Linked DNA regions of Tamandua tetradactyla. The protein of the gene in region 2 purifies or fractionates together with the protein of the main gene of each other region. This does not show direct contact. Links are inferred from orthologs where the notes say so. Each region holds a gene or a part of one and is shown on either strand. Other genes may lie near its edges.

What was found.
Region 1: the proteins of ARHGEF7 (region 2) and GIT2 purify together in Homo sapiens (affinity purification with mass spectrometry; 6 studies listed by BioGRID and IntAct, counting the BioPlex papers as one, with this or other methods). This does not show direct contact. The link is inferred for Tamandua tetradactyla from reciprocal best matches to the Homo sapiens genes ARHGEF7 and GIT2.

What each region holds. Positions count from the first base shown.
Region 1 is NC_135331.1:21,458,104-21,466,620, reverse strand, and holds the start of GIT2 (ARF GTPase-activating protein GIT2), read right to left. Parts: upstream 5,789-8,517; 5' UTR 5,638-5,788; coding exon 5,586-5,637; intron 1,761-5,585; coding exon 1,627-1,760; intron 79-1,626; coding exon 1-78. UniProt on the Homo sapiens protein: GTPase-activating protein for ADP ribosylation factor family members, including ARF1.
Region 2 is NC_135330.1:180,970,443-180,978,959, reverse strand, and holds the start of ARHGEF7 (rho guanine nucleotide exchange factor 7), read right to left. Parts: upstream 5,175-8,517; 5' UTR 4,935-5,174; intron 4,657-4,934; exon of another isoform or gene 4,543-4,656; 5' UTR 4,143-4,542; coding exon 3,978-4,142; intron 1-3,977. UniProt on the Homo sapiens protein: Acts as a RAC1 guanine nucleotide exchange factor (GEF) and can induce membrane ruffling. Functions in cell migration, attachment and cell spreading. Promotes targeting of RAC1 to focal adhesions. May function as a positive regulator of apoptosis.

The DNA.
Region 1 (8,517 bases), on a different chromosome or scaffold from region 2:
ACTCATAAGAGAGGCAGGGTCCAGCAACGAATGCTCCCATATAGAATTAGCACCATTATTATATAAGGTTTCAACCATCTAAAACCAAGAAGTACAAAATCATATTTTAATTTCTTCTCACAAATCTTCAATGAGAATCAGTGACTGAATTGGGAAGAACAAAACTCCATTACAAACACTAGCATGACTGATGTATCACATCATTGTTTCCTGATTTTAGAATGGGAAAAGACGAACCTGAATGCAAGATTCAGGTCTGACCAGTAGAAGAGCTACATACCTAAACCACTTTGATTAAACTGTTCTTATAAATTATGAAGGAAGAGTATTTTGCTACTTCAGGGCAGTGTTTCTCAAGCTTCATCATTCAAATACTACTTTAAGATTCTTAACCTGTGTACTATCTATATTATTTACTTAATTGTTCTCTTTACGTCCATGTACTTTTAAAAACTTTTACTAGCAATGATGGTTTGATGTGCTAGTTATATTTTTCTTATATACATTAAAGTAATGCAACTATTTTAATAAATATTTGAATATTAATTACAGCTCTCTTTAGTACCACTTGTGGTTTACAAAACATACTTTGGGGAAATGTTGCTTTAGGGTCAACCCTACCATTTAAAATTACTCATCTCTGGACTTTATTTACATCCTATAACATAGTAAGGCTGTGTAAACACAGACAGGCCTGGGATCAGGAAATACTTTCACAGGAGAATGGACTCTTAGAAACATATAAGTCAAAGTTATCAATAAACCCTATCTCCCAGTTTCATTTCAAAGCACAGCTCCTGACACGGCAACCTGGTCCCATCTGTTTTTAACATTAGTGGGGATATTTTCACATGAGAGATCCAAATCTACTTGTTCATAGAGGCAAATTCTAAGGGGCATTTTGTGCAGCTGCCATAAATTTAGTAAAATGTGCCCACAAGACAAATGAAGGTAAAACACATGCTTAATTCTGAATTCCAGCAGAACCTGAAGAATGTGTACTCCAAAATAGAAATATAAGTGACATGACATTTGACTTCAAAGAAATCCAGAAGTCCTTTTAACAATTAGCAGAGTGTCAGGCACGCATTCAAAATACGTTAACTTAATTTGATCTCTGCCTATTAACGAGAACTTTCAGAAAGCTTCCATATTTCTGAAATTTGAGAGATCCCAGTTCATGCTTCTATAAAAGCAGGAAAAAAATCTAAAAATAATAGCAGGTACTCAGGAATAAGTACATCAGTGAAAACTTTCTAAGGCAGTAGCTATCAGAAACATTTATCATGGTAAGTGGAATAGATGGGACTATTTAAAAAAAACAATTTCTAGTGACAGTTTAAAAAGTCACCCTGAAATGCTACCAAAGAATTTTTAATTATCTATCTATCACTAATTGAGCTTCTGGGGCCAGATTGATGTAGAGGAGGGGAAAAGAATCTTAAATAATGAACTCAATTTAGATAATACTTATATATAGCACTGACTGGTTCAGCTCCTCTATTAAACTGCTATTCAAATATTTTTGAGAGATTTAAAAAGTACACTAGAGGAAATTTTATTTGCTAAAACATGAAGCCAAAAAAACTTAAATTACAAGCTGTGAGAAGAATTCTTGTCCTTTACCTGAAGCAATGTGGGAGGCCATGGTGTGTGTTTAAGATGCTTGACTTGAGAGATGTGGCGTCCCAGACTCCGATGGACACTGCAGCACTCATCACATATGAAAGTCCCCCTGTTTACTGATGCCCAGGAAGGATCTGGAAAGTAAAATGAAATTCCAGAGGTGAGGATGCCAGTTGGTTGCTATAAGGTCAGAGAGCAAAAGATGACTGAGGTTTGTGTTTCCAAATGCCAACGACATATCAAGCTGGTGATTCTGCTGATGACACCATCTATTATGGCTGATTATGTACCATGTTAACTGATACTAAAAACACGACTTGAATCCCTAAATAAACAGTTCTCTCTTTTCTGGCTCAGGACCACAGCTTGTAGTCATAATGTGTTATCTACACCACATTAGGATGTTCTTTCATTCAATGTAAGAAAAGTAAATTAAGAGGGTGCAGATGACTCTTTTCAAATCCATCTCCACAAATGGCCAGATAATAAAATTTTGACAGTGAGTTAGAAGCATAACATTACCTGAAGTAAACTGCAAAAAGGACTGCTACTCTAATTTACAAATCTACATGCCCATATGCTTAAGAGAAAGCTGTGAGTGAGAGAACTATAAAATCGCTCAGCTGTTACGGTTCTGAGGACAGATTGGGAAACCTGGCCTCCTCCACTGGGAAACATTCTATGATTTCCCTTAGTTGTTTTAAATAAACTACTCACAAATCCAACCCTCCAACTCATCTGAAAGAACATAAACTGTACTAAGTCATTTCACAGAGATGAAGATGCAAAATAAAAACGGGCAATATTTTTGGTGTGCATACAGTATTTTTCTCCTATGAAGTCTCAGGAGAACTTTATTAGACAGCCTTTGAAACAAGGACTCATACACATGTGGCAAACAAAATGGATCCGAGTAAGTAAACCGAGCACGCAGAAATCTAAATTAAAGGAAGATATACATTCCATCACAATGAAGTGAGGTGCCACTCAAACTACCAGGTCTAAGGGTTATACTTAGAAATTTTTCAATGTCCACAAACATCTTAATCATTTTAACAGTTTATTCAAGCTCTTTCAAACCATATACAGAAAAATTACGGTATTTCAATCAAAGACAAACCCTAGGGGTTTGAAAGTATGATGGTTAAGAAGGTTGGCTCCAGAGACAAGCAGGCCAGGGTTTGAGCCCCAATTCTGCCACTTGTGGTACAATATCCTCGGGCAAGTTACTTCTTTTGAGTCTCTTCACCATGGGTCAAATGGTAATGATACCTACATTTCGGGGTAGAAAAGAATAAGTAATGGGTGCATAGTAAGTACTCAGTGATGTTAGTTGTTATATCTTTTCTAAACAGCATTCAGATATCTTCAAGAACCTACTGAAATTCATGATCACTGGGAAAAGTTTTTGATTAGAAATACTTAAAAAACAGTGAATGCTTCATGTGAATACTGTACTACTATAGTACAGTATAGTGAAAATCTCACCAGATTTTTCAGGTAATTGCACTCAGAGTATGACGTATTTTAAAACTAACTAGATTCATTAAGATAAGTGAAATATTTAAGAAGTCATTGTGGCTAAATGTTTGCCCTAAAACAAAACAGAAACAAAGTAATTCAAGGATGCATAACTCTCTCAGTACTACTATACTGAGCAAGGATTGAAGATATCAAGATGAGGGTTATTTAAAATGATATATAGGAACATTTTTTTTTTTGCAGTCTGGTACTACTGTTAATGACCATAAAAACCTATTTGCTTTGAAGCATAGCTTTGATTTTCATGTATCACCCAGATGATTTACAGTATTCTTGGAGGAAATTAAACAGCACCAAGACAGTGAGGATTTAACACACCTTAAGCAAGGTTCTCAAATGATCATTTTAACATCATGTACCAGAATCCTGGGGAAAGAATACTAGAATGTCACAACATAGTAAAATCAAAATCAAGTTTGCATGAATGAAGTTGGGCAAAACCCTTCCAGCTTATCTGGATATTTTATGTCAGGGCTTCTTATACAGGGTTCATGGACACCACAAATGGGTTTCAGAATTGTCTGTAACTCGAGTGAGAAATCCTAAGTAAAATCTGTGTGAGAGTGTGAATACCAGTGCATTTTCTGGGGAGTGGCGTCTTTGCTTTCATCAGATTCTCAAAGGGGTTCCTCAATGGAAAGGTAATTCTTTCACCAGAGTTTTGCAGAAAAGAAGCACAAATTCCTAGCTGCTCAAGTTCACAGAACAGTTCAAGGTAGCCTAATTATACTCAAAACAGGAAGGAAGTGACTCAAGTCTCTGTAGACTATGCATATGAAACAACAGCTAAAATGATACAATGGAAGAGAAAATGTTCTGAAATGTACAAAACGCCACAAAGTGAAAAGCAGTCTCGGGGCAGCAACGGAGAAGCAACTCCCCTTAGCCCCACAGCGTCTTTTGAGAAGTAAAGAATACTCATTCTAAGAGGAAGTTTGATGCTAGACACGTGAATCAAACACATCTCTGAAAGTTCAACTGAAAACAGGCAAGAAAAGAAGGAAGCGGAACAAATAACACTTTTAGAGAATAAAAATGGAGTTTATATAACCCACCCTAACTTGATTATGAAGCATCTCTTTTTAAACCCTTTTACCCCTCTTCCCGTCTTTAAAGGAAACTGGTAATCCTGGTTGCATTGTACAGGCCATGACACAACCACGTAGGTTTGAGTTATCACAGTACAATTTAAAATCAGTCTCAACTTCCAAATCACAAGATGAAGTTCAAAACAGTTGCAAAAACATGTTTATGATTTCATTAACACTGTTTCTTGGGTGCTATTGTGCCAAGTCAACCATCTGACTTTTGAATTACTTCAAACACAACATAGATAAATGCAAGCACTGAAAATAGCATATAATAATCTAACCATAGAGACCTGACAATTCAGTTCCAATTGCAAAGACAGCTCGGAACCCTAAATCTGAAAAGTGCACATAGGTGGAAATGGCTTCGGCCTTTTAATAGCCACAACATGCTTACAGTCCCTGAATAATACTCAGATGTGTATTCTGCCGAGTGATTTTGTGTTTACTTGGTAAGCTGTAATTAATATATGACTTAGGAATTAAATCTAGTTTTAAGAGATTATGAGGGTTCCGTACTGAAGAACATAATACAAAAAAGAACAAAAAACTTTAACAGGATCATAAGAACATTTACTGAATCTTCCTAGCCCCTGAGCACAGTACTCCCAATTTTCCCCATCGGAAAAATAAGGAAATCGAGGTTTGGCCAAACAAAGTCACCAGTCCAAGGTCACCCTTGGGAAAACCAGGTTTGAACCCAGGCTGTTCAGCTCCCAAACTCGAGACAGGCACTGTTTCCCAGGCGCTGCCTGGCGCTGCCGGCCCTCAACGTCCTGGATTCTCCCCCGTGGAGTGGGAGCGGGATGTCAAAAGCCAGGAAGTCATCTGCCCCAGAGGCCCCTCGACGTGCCTTGGTGAAGGAAGCCGCGAGTGTCGCCCACCCCGGGCGAGGGACAGGGTGACCGGTGGGGGTGACACCTGCAGCTTCTGGGGGCCGCATCCGCGAAGACGTTCGCAGTTTACTTCTGTAATTGGTTTTCCTGTGGCTTGCCCAAGCCCCTTCCTGTTAGGGGAGAGGGCCCGGCCCCAGCCCCCGCCCCCACCACCGGTCTGGGATGAAGGGGAATGGGCGGGGGGGGGGGGGGGGGGAGGTGTTGGTGGTGTGAGAGGGAAGGGAAGGAAGGGAGGGGGCGGCCCCCGCCCCGTCCGACTCTGACAGGCCTGGAACAAGCCCTGCCCCAGAGCCGCCTTCGGTTCCCCTTCGCTGCGACCACGGCCGAGGGGCGCGGGGCTCGCCGGCGGGGACCTGCCGGACCCGAGGGGGCGGCCCGGGGCAGGGGTCCCGGCCAGGAGAGGAGGGGAGCGGGCCCGGCCGGTGCGACTCACCCGGCCCGCTGCAGTCAGCGCACACCTCGCTGCTCCGGAGCCGCTTCGACATGGCTCCCGCCTCCCACGCGTCAGGAGCTAGGGGCCCCGGGACACCTAAGGCGGCGGCAGGAGCGCTTCCGCTTAACGGGTCCCTGCGGCGGCGCTAGCGGTGGCGCCTCTCCCCTCAGCGACTCGGAATAGCGGCGCAGCACGCAGGCGCAAGGAGGCTCCCTTCGGCGATATAGGTCATGTGACCGGACAGGGCACGCTGCCTTGTCGCCATCTTGAGTAAGGGCAGGCTCCTCCCCAGCATCTTTCGCTTTACTTCTAAATCTTGAATTTAGGTCCCCCTGGAAGAGATATGCCTCCTCGCAGCACCGATAAATACCAGGGGAAGCAGCAAAATCTAATGACTAGAGCGCTGCAGCCACAACCTTCCTGAGACAATCGGTGGCCATTTACTGTAACATTGGCCGAGTTCATTCATTCAGTCAACAAATACTTATTGAGCCCAGCTATGTGCCAAACATTGTCAGGAACGAGAGAAACAGCAGTGAGCAAAGCAGACAAAATTTCCTGTACTTATGGATGTTACATTCTATTGAGGTTGATCTGCAATAAAATAAGTCAAGTATAGAATATGTTAGATGCTTTCATCTTTAGAATTCAGTTTTAATCTCATCTGCAAAACGGAGTCCACGATTTGTTTTTATACGGCTTGCTACCTAAGAATAGTCTTCACCTTTTTAAAAGGTTTTAAGGAGAAGAAAAAGGAGAAAGAAGAGGAAGAGGAAGAATATGCAACAGAACTACAATGTGACCCACAAAACGTGAATATTTATTATCTGGCCAAGGACAAATGGAGTAATTTATGAAGAAGCATGTTGTGCCTGCCCCATAGGAAACCCGCAATAGATAGTAACCACCACTATTATTGGTATTTTATTATTTTCTAATCACTGCTCTTCTTCATATACTTGGAATTTGAGAATAAGAATCCTGAAGGAAAGTAATTTATAGGATGGTGTGAGATAAACACAATGAAGTGAGGTTAATTAGTGTGAAGGAGAGAAGAGATGTGAGCCTAACGCTAATGAACATTTATTGTATATGTTACATGCAAACAGGATTATAATCTCCATTTAGCAAATATTGGATGCCCATGATGGGCCAGGTACTGTTTTGGCTTCAGGTAGTCTGGTGAACAAAACAGAAGTGGTCCCTACCACTGTGGGGTTTTCAGACTGAGATAGGAGAGATGTTCAATTAACATGGGATGATGGAGAGAATGAAATTAAGTTGTATGAGGCTTCTGAAAAGAAAAGAAGTCCTGGAAAAGGCCTCAGAAGCATGACCCAGGATCCATCTCTCCAGTTTGATAAATGTGTGATGTGGAAATAGCCACACAGTTCCTGCACATTCCACAGTCTGAATCTATGGGTGCTATCTTGATGCTCTTGTTTCCTGTTTTGGTTCCCCGACTCACAAATCATCTGGGTTCAACACATGTGGAGAATGGATTAGCCCAGAATTCTCGAACAGCTGTCGTTGCAGACATCTGAAAAGCTGGTTGTGCACAGGCAGGAAAGGCAGAGAGGATGCTTTTAGGATGCATTGAATAACTTTGCTGAGCTAGGTTGTGTAGTTGTAGACAATTGAGCAGTAGCAGCAGCAGCAGCAGCAGCATGGAGCTCAGGCTGGTTAGTAGCTATAAGCTGACTTGGTTCTTTATTGATTCAAGAAGATACAGTGTCTGAAGTTGAAATCCAAGGATGAACTTCATATTTGCAGATTGTGGTAAAGTCTAAGTATTATATATGCACCCTTCCAGCCATAATTACAAATCCAAATGGTTAGCTTCAGGCAGGCCACGGTGGCTCAGCAGACAGAGTTCTTGTCTGCCATACTGGTGACCTGGATTCGATTCCTGCGTGTCTGCCTGCCCATGAAAAAAAAAAAAATAACAGTCATATGTGAAGTAAACTACCAGCACAGGTTCTTTCTTTTTTCTTTTTTTAATTAGAGAAGTTGTAGATTTACAGAAAAATCATGCATAAAATATAGAGTTCCCATAAACCACTCTATTATTAACACCTTGTATTAGTGTGCCACAGATATTTTTGAATCATAACCAAATTTGGAGTTCATATAGACAGTGGTTCTCAGCTGGGGGCGACATTGATCCCCCAGGGGATGTTTGGCGAAAAAAATTTTGAAGGGTGCTAAATTGGCCACCAGTGGATAGAGAAGAGGGAAGCTACTCAATATCCTACAAAACACAGGAAAGGACCTCAAACAAAGAATTATCTGGCCCCAAATGTGCTGAGGTTGAGAAACCTTGAGATAGAACTATGCTTCTATTATGCAAATATTAGATGCCACTTTCCCAGGGTTTATAGTTCTCCCTTTACAACTATTTTTGGTGTTGCCCACTTCCAAAATGGCTACTGACAAATCATAGAAGCTTCTGCCCTGGTCCAAAAAGGCTGCAAGGGGATGGTTTAGTCCAGGCCACTCAGACACCCCCCCCCCATCGCAGAGCCAATGGAAGCGGCCCAGTTGTGGAGCGCACAACTGTGGGTAGATAAAGCAGGGGGGACGAGGCTAGAGACGGATAGACCGATTTTTCCTTATTAAGACTTCGGGCCAAGAGAGGGAATTCTAGCTCCGTGTAGACGTTGGTATTGAGTTTTCCGGTGTGCAGTTAGGGGGTAATGGGGTCGAGAGGACACCCGGCCGGGTCCCTGGCTTCGCTCCCCCTGCCGCAGCGCGCAGTGGTTCGCTCCCCGCACTTCCCTGTTTGGGACAGTTCGGCCCCGAAGTCGGTTCGCGAGCTGTCAACGCCGGCGGGAGCGCGGCGGGGCGCGGGGTGGGCGCGGCCGACCTGGTCCCCGACCCGGCCCGCGACCCCCGACCTGCCGTGCGCCCCGCTCCTGGCTCTCTAGGCCAC
Region 2 (8,517 bases):
TTTCTTTTTCCTACATTTTTTATTATCAGAATTTGCTGGTTTCCTGCAAACCTACAAAAGACTATATAGGGCTGCCAGCTTATAGTTTGGGGAAATACAAACCACATCTTAATCTATGTATAGGATTAGTAAAGATTTATGGTTAAAGAAAAATCTTCAGTCTGATTCAGCCCAAATGCAGGTCTCCTTTAATTCCTTAACTCTCTTGTTACTTTAATAGGTATCTGATATTGTGATTTTCTTTTTATTTCATTCTGCTTCATATTTTTTCTAGCTTTATATTTATGTTTTCTCTTGTACTAAAAATCGTAGGAATCAGTTATTAGTCTTTTTGTTTCCCATGGCTCCTAGCACCATGCAGATAGATGGGTTCTTACTAAATTGGTTTGACTGAAATTTATTATACAATCCCATAGTTTAAATACATGCGTACGCGTGAGCGTGCACACACACACACGCACACACACACAGAGGACACCTAGCAAGACCAGAATAGTATCTTTCATGTACACGCCACAAATACTAATCCAGCATCTTCTCTGGAGCACATTATATGGTTTACCTGGGGAAAATTCTGTGCATTCTGTTCTGGAACAGAGAGAGAAAGAAATCAAGTGTCTCAAAGACTTGAGTTTTTCATAGTGGATTAAGTGGCTCCCATCCTCTGCATTTGCAAGTAAAATTAAAACAGCATTTCATGATTTCCATTATTTTAATATGTGTCTTATTATTGTAATGGTGATTTTTCATCCTCTAAGATTCCTGTATCTTGATTTCACCGCTTTTGATTAAATAATCCATGGATGTTTAAAGTGTTAATTTATGAAAACAGTGTTAATAGGGCTAAAGGACGGTTGGATGCTCACTAGATTTTATGGCCGTTGTGTGTTTTTGATCACAGGAGGTATGAGGAAAAAGATTAGAACAAGTAGTTCAGCAATACATCCTGGCCATTGCTGGAAAACATGGAGATATTTTAACCACAATTTTTTTCTCCTATCTATAGCAAAAAAACATAATGATGAAAAGTATCTTTCTTCTGAACTGTTCATGTAAAGTTTATAATTTCCTCTTCCTACTGTCTTACTTTCCAATTTAAAGAAAAGCAGGAGAACTGCATAAAAGAGAACTTAAATGAAAAAAAAATGTTAATGAATAAAACAATGTGAAACTAAATGAATGTCCTCTTAGTTCCCTCCATCCTTCTACCAGATCTAAAATAGAACAAATGAACATAATGGAAGAAACATATTAGGAAATGTTTTTCTTCATTTATGACATAAGAAACCTGAGCCAGCTTAACTCTCCTAAATTCTGCCCTCATCCCCAGTCCAATGGTTCATTTTAAATTTGAATTTGCAAGTGTTAAGTTACAGGCTGCTTTATTAACTAGCTGTCAACGTGTTCTTGTGGCAAACAGGGGTAAAGTTAAGATTCTTTAAATTTCATATGAGTATTCAGTTAAGTTTCCAACTGTCTCTTTTTAAGGAAAAATGTCTTCTTCCTCACATTTCCACATTCAAGTAAAAGTTGTTCAGAGTTTGTGCTTTGTGGCATATATTATTTGGTATGCATGCAAACGTTGGAAAGTTCAAACAGATAACTCTTTTAGGAAATGGAAAAAGCTCATGACTCTTCTGAAACCCAGGTGTTTTTTGGAGGCAGAGAATGACTAATATTTTACCCTGAAAACCTACCTTTGAACCTTTGAGAATTAGTGGCTCTGTCTATAATTTGCTACTTTGATATTAACCTTTCATTGCGATAAAATCAGTTTTTAAAAAAAACATTTGGGGCTCAGGGAAAAAGGAATTAATAGCTTCAATATAAGAAACTTACAAATGACTATAGTTTTAGATTATGTTGGGTTGTTTTCTGCAAAGTAAACATTCACAGTGTTCTTTGTTGTTTTAGAGATGAGAGGACTGCTACCATTTTCTAAGAAAGTCTTTCTAAAATTTAAAAGAAAATGACTATTGAAGTCTACCAATCAATAGTATACCAAATAGCACATGCATTGAGTTGCTATTTTTAGCAACACAGCATATCAAGTTTCTTAAAACTCCATTCTTAGAAATGGAACAATATTTTATTGACATCTACTTTGGTAAACTGTGCATTTTCAAAAAGCTTTTCAACTCTGACTTTTATTACCAGAAATACTGATATTCAGATGACAACAAAGTATTTTGAGAGCCCTGAAAATTAGATCCTGCTTGTTGCATGCAGAGACCGGGGTTCGATTCCCGGTGCCTGCCCATGCGAAAAAAAAAAAAAATCATAGATCCTGCTTGTAATTCTCATTTTAAATCATAATTTTATCGTGACATCAGATTCATCTAGAAGCAACATTTTTATTTCATGGACAAGCAGGCAGGTATTAACTCTAAAGTGCACATTCTGTGTTCACAAATATGTTACCCGTAAGAAAAGCATCTAAAATTATTATGCTAAATAAAATTTTTCTGGCCTTCAAAATGTAATCCCAGAACATATGCAAATTTATGAATGAGGATAAACGTTTTACTTTTTCAAGTCATTTTATTAACTTTTTTATTATTAAAAATCGTCTTTGGAAAAAAAATTGTCTTGGTTTGTAGGGGCTAAAAACTCCACAAAAAATGAAATTGTTCCTCCAAATTATAGTGCGCTCCAACTTCCATACTTAATATTTTAAAAATAATCTCTAAAAAGATTCATCTTAAATTATACCCTGGCAAAAAAAATTTTGGAATAAAATTGTAGTATTTTTTAAATAGCAGGATATATAGTTTTTAAAAGATTTCATATCCCCTCACCCATGCTTTGTCAGCTTGTAGAGATGAAAACAAACTTTAATCACTCACAGAAATACAGGTCAAGGTTCACACTTTATCCCTAGGGAAACCACTAGACAGGAGTAGGGAGAAGCAATACTCCAGGACTCTGGATCTGTTCAGAATCAGGTAGAAATCTGAAAATAAAATCTTGTATTTTGAACAAATTCTGAAGAATGCCAGGGCTTTTTAACTTAAGTGATTGCAATCCACATGGATTGGAATACATGAGGAATTCTTTCTTTGGGAAAGTAGTAAATCATTTCACAGCTCAGCTCTCAGCTATTGACGAATGTACCTTCAAAAAATGCATAGGAATTGGTCAATTAAACAGAAAAATGATGAAACTACTGCAATATCCCCACCAACGAAAAATTATCCAAACAAAGCCATCGGAGAAAACTGTGCATGGTGTTGGAACGAGCTTTTCTGATTAGGTCACTGTAAGGGATCTGAGCAGACAGACCTCACGACACCCGAGGAGCAACTTAATATTAGAACGGAACAGAAAATCCGATTTCTTCTTGTGTAGAGAACTGTTCTAACCTTCGAAATCGGACCGGGAGAAGACACTGGGGCTGCGCCCGCCTGCGGGATCCGTCCCCTTTGCAGCGGCCCCAGGCTCCCGCCCACCCCCCGCGCGCGGCCACGGAGCCCCCCGCCCGGCTCGGGCCCGCCACTCCACACTCTGCACACAATGGCGCCCTCCGAGCTCCCGCTACTCGGGTCCTCACGGTCGGTCGGGCGGGGAGCGCCGTGCGCGGCGGAGATGCGTCCGCGCTTTCCCGGCGCGAACCGGACTTCCAGGGGGGATCCGCGCACAAAGGAAAGTGCGTAGGCTTCCTGCCTGCGCGTCACCTTTTCCTCTGGGCAGAGGTGGGCGGCTGGTACTGCCGCGCGGGTCAACCAGGTGCCAAGGCGCAAGGCGGTTCCCGCGTCCCGGCACTCGTCTGCCCATCTCGGGCCTCAGCGGCCGGGGCCCAGGGGTCCTGAGCTTTGTGCCCGGGACCACGCAGGCAGGAGGCGGGCGCGTGGGCGTCGGAGCGCAGGGGTCAAGCCTAGGGGTGGGGTGCCGCCTGGCGCCCCGGGGTCGGCGACTGCGGCCAGGCGGGGGCGCGGTGGGGGGGCCGGGGGCCGCGCGCGGGCTGAAATAGCACTTACTTTCTCTATGGTCCCAGGGAGCAGGCGGTCCAGCAGCCTGCAGAGGACCACCCCATCTTTGAGAGACGACTGCAAAAAGCCCTCTGGGTCCGAGATGGTTTTTTTGGGCGACTCCAGCACCCCCAAGGTAATGAGCCACGTAACGGTCTGTTCAGCGGAATTCATAGCTGCCCGAAGAGGAGGAGAAATCCGCAGGGGGAAGGAAGGGGGGGGATACCGCACACGGAGCAACCTTTCCCTCCTCGCTCGCTCTCCGTTGCTTTTTCTGATCCCCCTTTTTTGCTCGTGGTTTCACATTGGAGCAGCCGAGGCTGGAGCTTCTGATCCCACCTCCTCCTCCTCCTCCTCCTCCTTCCCCATGTAGATGCAGATGATGACGATTGGCTTTGCGAAATCCAGTAGGTCCAGTTTCGCTCCCTCTCCCTGGCGTGCGTTTTGGCAGACTGTCAAGTGCCTTTTCATTATATGCACATGAACCTGCAGCGGCGGCGGCGGCGGCGGCAGCCGGGGCGCCTCCGCCTCCTCCTCCTCCTGCTCGCTCAGCTGCTGTAGCCCAATGACATCACTGAAATAAGAAGAAAAGAAGATGCCGTTTGCAAGCGGCTCTACATCCTGTCATCGCCTCGGCGTGTTCCAGCCGCCACCGCTGCGCACGACAGATGGGTTCGCCTTGTTCTAGGTACGGGCCGGGGCCGCGCGGACAAATGGACACGCTGCGTGCGGTTTTGCGCAGGCTTTGAGCATGATATAAATGTAACCCACACCAGAATTTCACGAATGACACAAGGAATAAACCGTTAATGTAAAGCCTTGGAGCATATGGTTTTGCACATGTGGATCCACTTACAGGTGCATTTATGTGAGAATTTAGATACAGTCATCCATCTAGACACCCTTCAATGACCATTCTCACCATTATTCTCCTATGCATGTGTGTGCGCGCGCGCACGTCCTTACCTGGACAGCTGTTAAGTAAGCGACAGCCCCGAGAAGTCCTTTTGACCTCTAGAAGACCGGATTCAGTCTCACTCGCGGAGGTGGTTTTACCAACGAAGGCTCGCGCGGCCTCCCTTCCCCCACGCGGCCATGTGCGGTTTCCCTCTACACAATATGTTAACCATTTGCGCTTCTGCTCCGGGTCTATTAAGCAGACACCATCTGGTTGGAAGAGCCTCACTTGACTTTTTTCGCTCTTCTGTCCCTTCCTCCGCCCCACTCCCTTCCTTAGAGGACTCATAAAGTTTTATTTATTTATTTTTAAACATGAATGTTTCAATTATTAAATATTTCCCAGAATTCTCTTTTTATTTTTGCCAGTTTGATTTCAAGGGCGGGGGAGAGGGGGTGTCCTGAAAAAGAGACATTCGTCTCTCTTCGCCACCGCCACCTTCCAATACAATAATTACGGGAACATAAATTATAATTAAGTATGTAACCAGATGGGTCTAATTCAGGAAGGGATTGATTTTCCTAACGCTGCTGCTAGTCCTTTTAAACGTGAACAGCAATTTAACGCTATGCTGCTTGGTTTCGTGTGCCCCCTAGTGGAAGGTTGGTTAAGACGGCTGGTGACCTCACCAAATTCTGGAAGGAGGGTGGCTAAATATACGTACGTACGGGCCATTTGGGGAGAGAATGTTCGTAGTCCAGAAACCTTGGAATCACTCCACTTTAAATTAATGGTGACGTTACAAACACTGTTAGAGGAAAGTCAAGAAAATAACACCTAAAACGGATCTACGTAGATTATTACGAAGGAAAATGTAAACAGCTCAAATTAGGCACTTAGTTGGATTATATATGAGTAAAAAGAGCCTCAATTAGACACAGGTCTATGGACACGTACAGGTCTAACTTAAGGAATTCGGACCTCAAACCGTAGTGTAATAAACGAGTTTTTTCAAACAACTCATATTTATATCCTGAAGAAGAAATAGAGCTTCTTTTAAAAACAGGACAGTATGTAAGGAGATTTCATTGCTACATTTACTTTCATTTATTTCATCTGCATGAGTTGTCAGTGCTTTCCCTCTTTCTTTGCCTTTACTTCCACGATAGTTTAAAATGATATTATCAATCGCTTATAGAAAGGGTACTGTGTTTCAGGCACACATATTAATACATTTAGCGAGAAGAGCTAGAAATTATATAAAGTTTTATTATTTTAGAAAGTAAAGAGGCTTAACTCTTCCTCCTCTTTTTCTGCTTTCATCGAGAGTGTTTCTGTGCAATCATTAATTGCATATATTCCAGCTTTCTTAACCAGTTTGCTTTCCAAATAGAAACATAAGATAATTCAATAACATTATCAATTCTGGGTTATGAAGGTAACTAATATTTGGTGATAATAGCTACCATTTGCTCACTAAATGCCAAGTACTGTGTCAACTGCTCTAATTGTATTATGTCACGAAATCATTAACACAACCTTATGAAATTACTCTCATTATCCCCATTTTACAGAAGAGGAAATGCAGCCTACAGAAATGAAATCATTGTCCGAGGTCACACATGCAGTAAGAGGTAGAGATGGATTCAAATCCAAGCTATCTGGCTCCAGAACTGATGGACCTAACCTGTTTTCTATATTGCTTTCCTTTAGGCTTTCAGAAGACCATTAGAGAAGCTAACAGCTATATGGTGGTTAATTTTATATGTAACTTGATTAGGTTATGGTGTCCAACTGTTTGATCAAACACTGGCTTAGATGTTGCCATGAAGTATTTTGTAGATGGTGCTAGCTGACGTTAAGTAAAGGAGATTATCCTGGGTAATGTGGGTGAGCCTCATCCAATCATTTGGAAGCATTAAAAGTAAACTGAGGGTTCCAAAGTAAAGAGGAAATTCTGCTTCAAGACTACACCCTCAACTTCTCTGAGTTTCCTGCCTGCCAGCCTCCCCTACAAATTTCAGACCCAACATCAAATCTTGCAGAATTTCCAGTCTGTCAGCTTCGCCTAAGAAATTTGAACTCAAGACTTCAGTTATTACTCTTACTGTAATTTCTCCATCCTGCAGAATTCAGACTTGCCATTCCCCACAATTGCATAAGCCAATTCCTTAAAATAAATTTCTGTATATATGTATACACAGAAAACACACACATACACACATATATCCTGTTGGCTCTGATTCTCTGAAAAACCCTGACTAATATAAACTATATCAAGTTTTATGCCCCAAGAGTCTTTATCAATAGAAGGATATGAATGCAAGGGTAATTTTTCACTGAGATTCCTATGTACTCTCATTACTGTTGAATTGGAAAAATAATTTAGAATGTCTTCATTACAATTATTCTATTAAATTAGGTCTGGCATTTATAAATCTGATAAAAAAGTAAGATTCAAATTAACTCAGTAAAATAGTTCTACAAAAAGCAAGCTCTAGGAAGAAGCCTTAGGAGACCAGTGAAGCTGGTAGCTAATTATATTGTTTTTTGTTTTTTGTTTTTTGTTTTGTAGAAGGTCCCGAAATTTTAAACATTTTTATTTACCAAGGGCATTCTTTTCCCTTGGATGTATATTAATTTCAAAAAGAGCTTATTTGGAAGGGATGCAAGTTTGAAACTGTTGCATGTTCCAGAAAAGCCATATTCTTTCATCCTTATTCAATATTGCTGGATGGGATCTTTTTTATTATTTCCATGGAGATGTGACCCACCCCATTGTGGGTGGTACCTTTTGATTAGATGGTTTCCATGGAGATGCGTCTCTACTCGTTCAAGGTAGAGTTGCTTACTGGAGCCCTTTAAAAGGGAACAATTTTGAAAAAAGCTTCAGTGCCAACAGAGCCCAAGAGCCCACACAGCCAGAGACCTTTGGAGATGAAAGAAAATGCCCCCGGGGAAGCCATTGAAGAGCCCAGGAAAGAAGGTTAGTAGACATAGCCCTGAGCCTTCCCAGCTGACAGAGGTGTCCAGAAGCCAAAGACCCCAGCAGATGCCAGCCAGCCACATGCCTTCCCAGCTAACAGAGGTGTTCCGAATGGCATCAGCCTTTCTTGAGAGAAGGTAACCTCTTGTTGGTGCCTTAATTTGAACATTTTCATGCCTTAGAACTGTAAACTTGCAAATTAATAAATTCCTCTTTTTAGAAGTCATAATGTTTCTGGTATGTTGCATCCCGGCAGCTTAACAAACTAAACATTCCAGAAAGTAACACTGTTCAAAGCTAAATGTTTTTAGGTGCTTAATTCAAGTATTTTAGTATCCAAGGTATGCATTTGGTTAAGCTTGCCTTAAAAGTTTTCCAGGTTACAATTATAGAGGACATATTCTATGGAATTGAAACTCTATAGCCCATCACTCATTGATCCACTGGGTGAGGACCAATAAAAATTATTTTCTAAGGAAAATTTTGGCCCTGAGTTGTAGATATTCCTTGGGCTCACTGTCAAAAGAACATGGAATGGCTTTTGGTGCAGGCATATGCTCTTTAGTTCTTGCAGCTCTCATGAGAGGATTTCAGCTTTATTCCTAACTGGGCTGCTTATTCATGCCTGACAGCCACATTCCAGATATTTGTTAGGAATACACCTA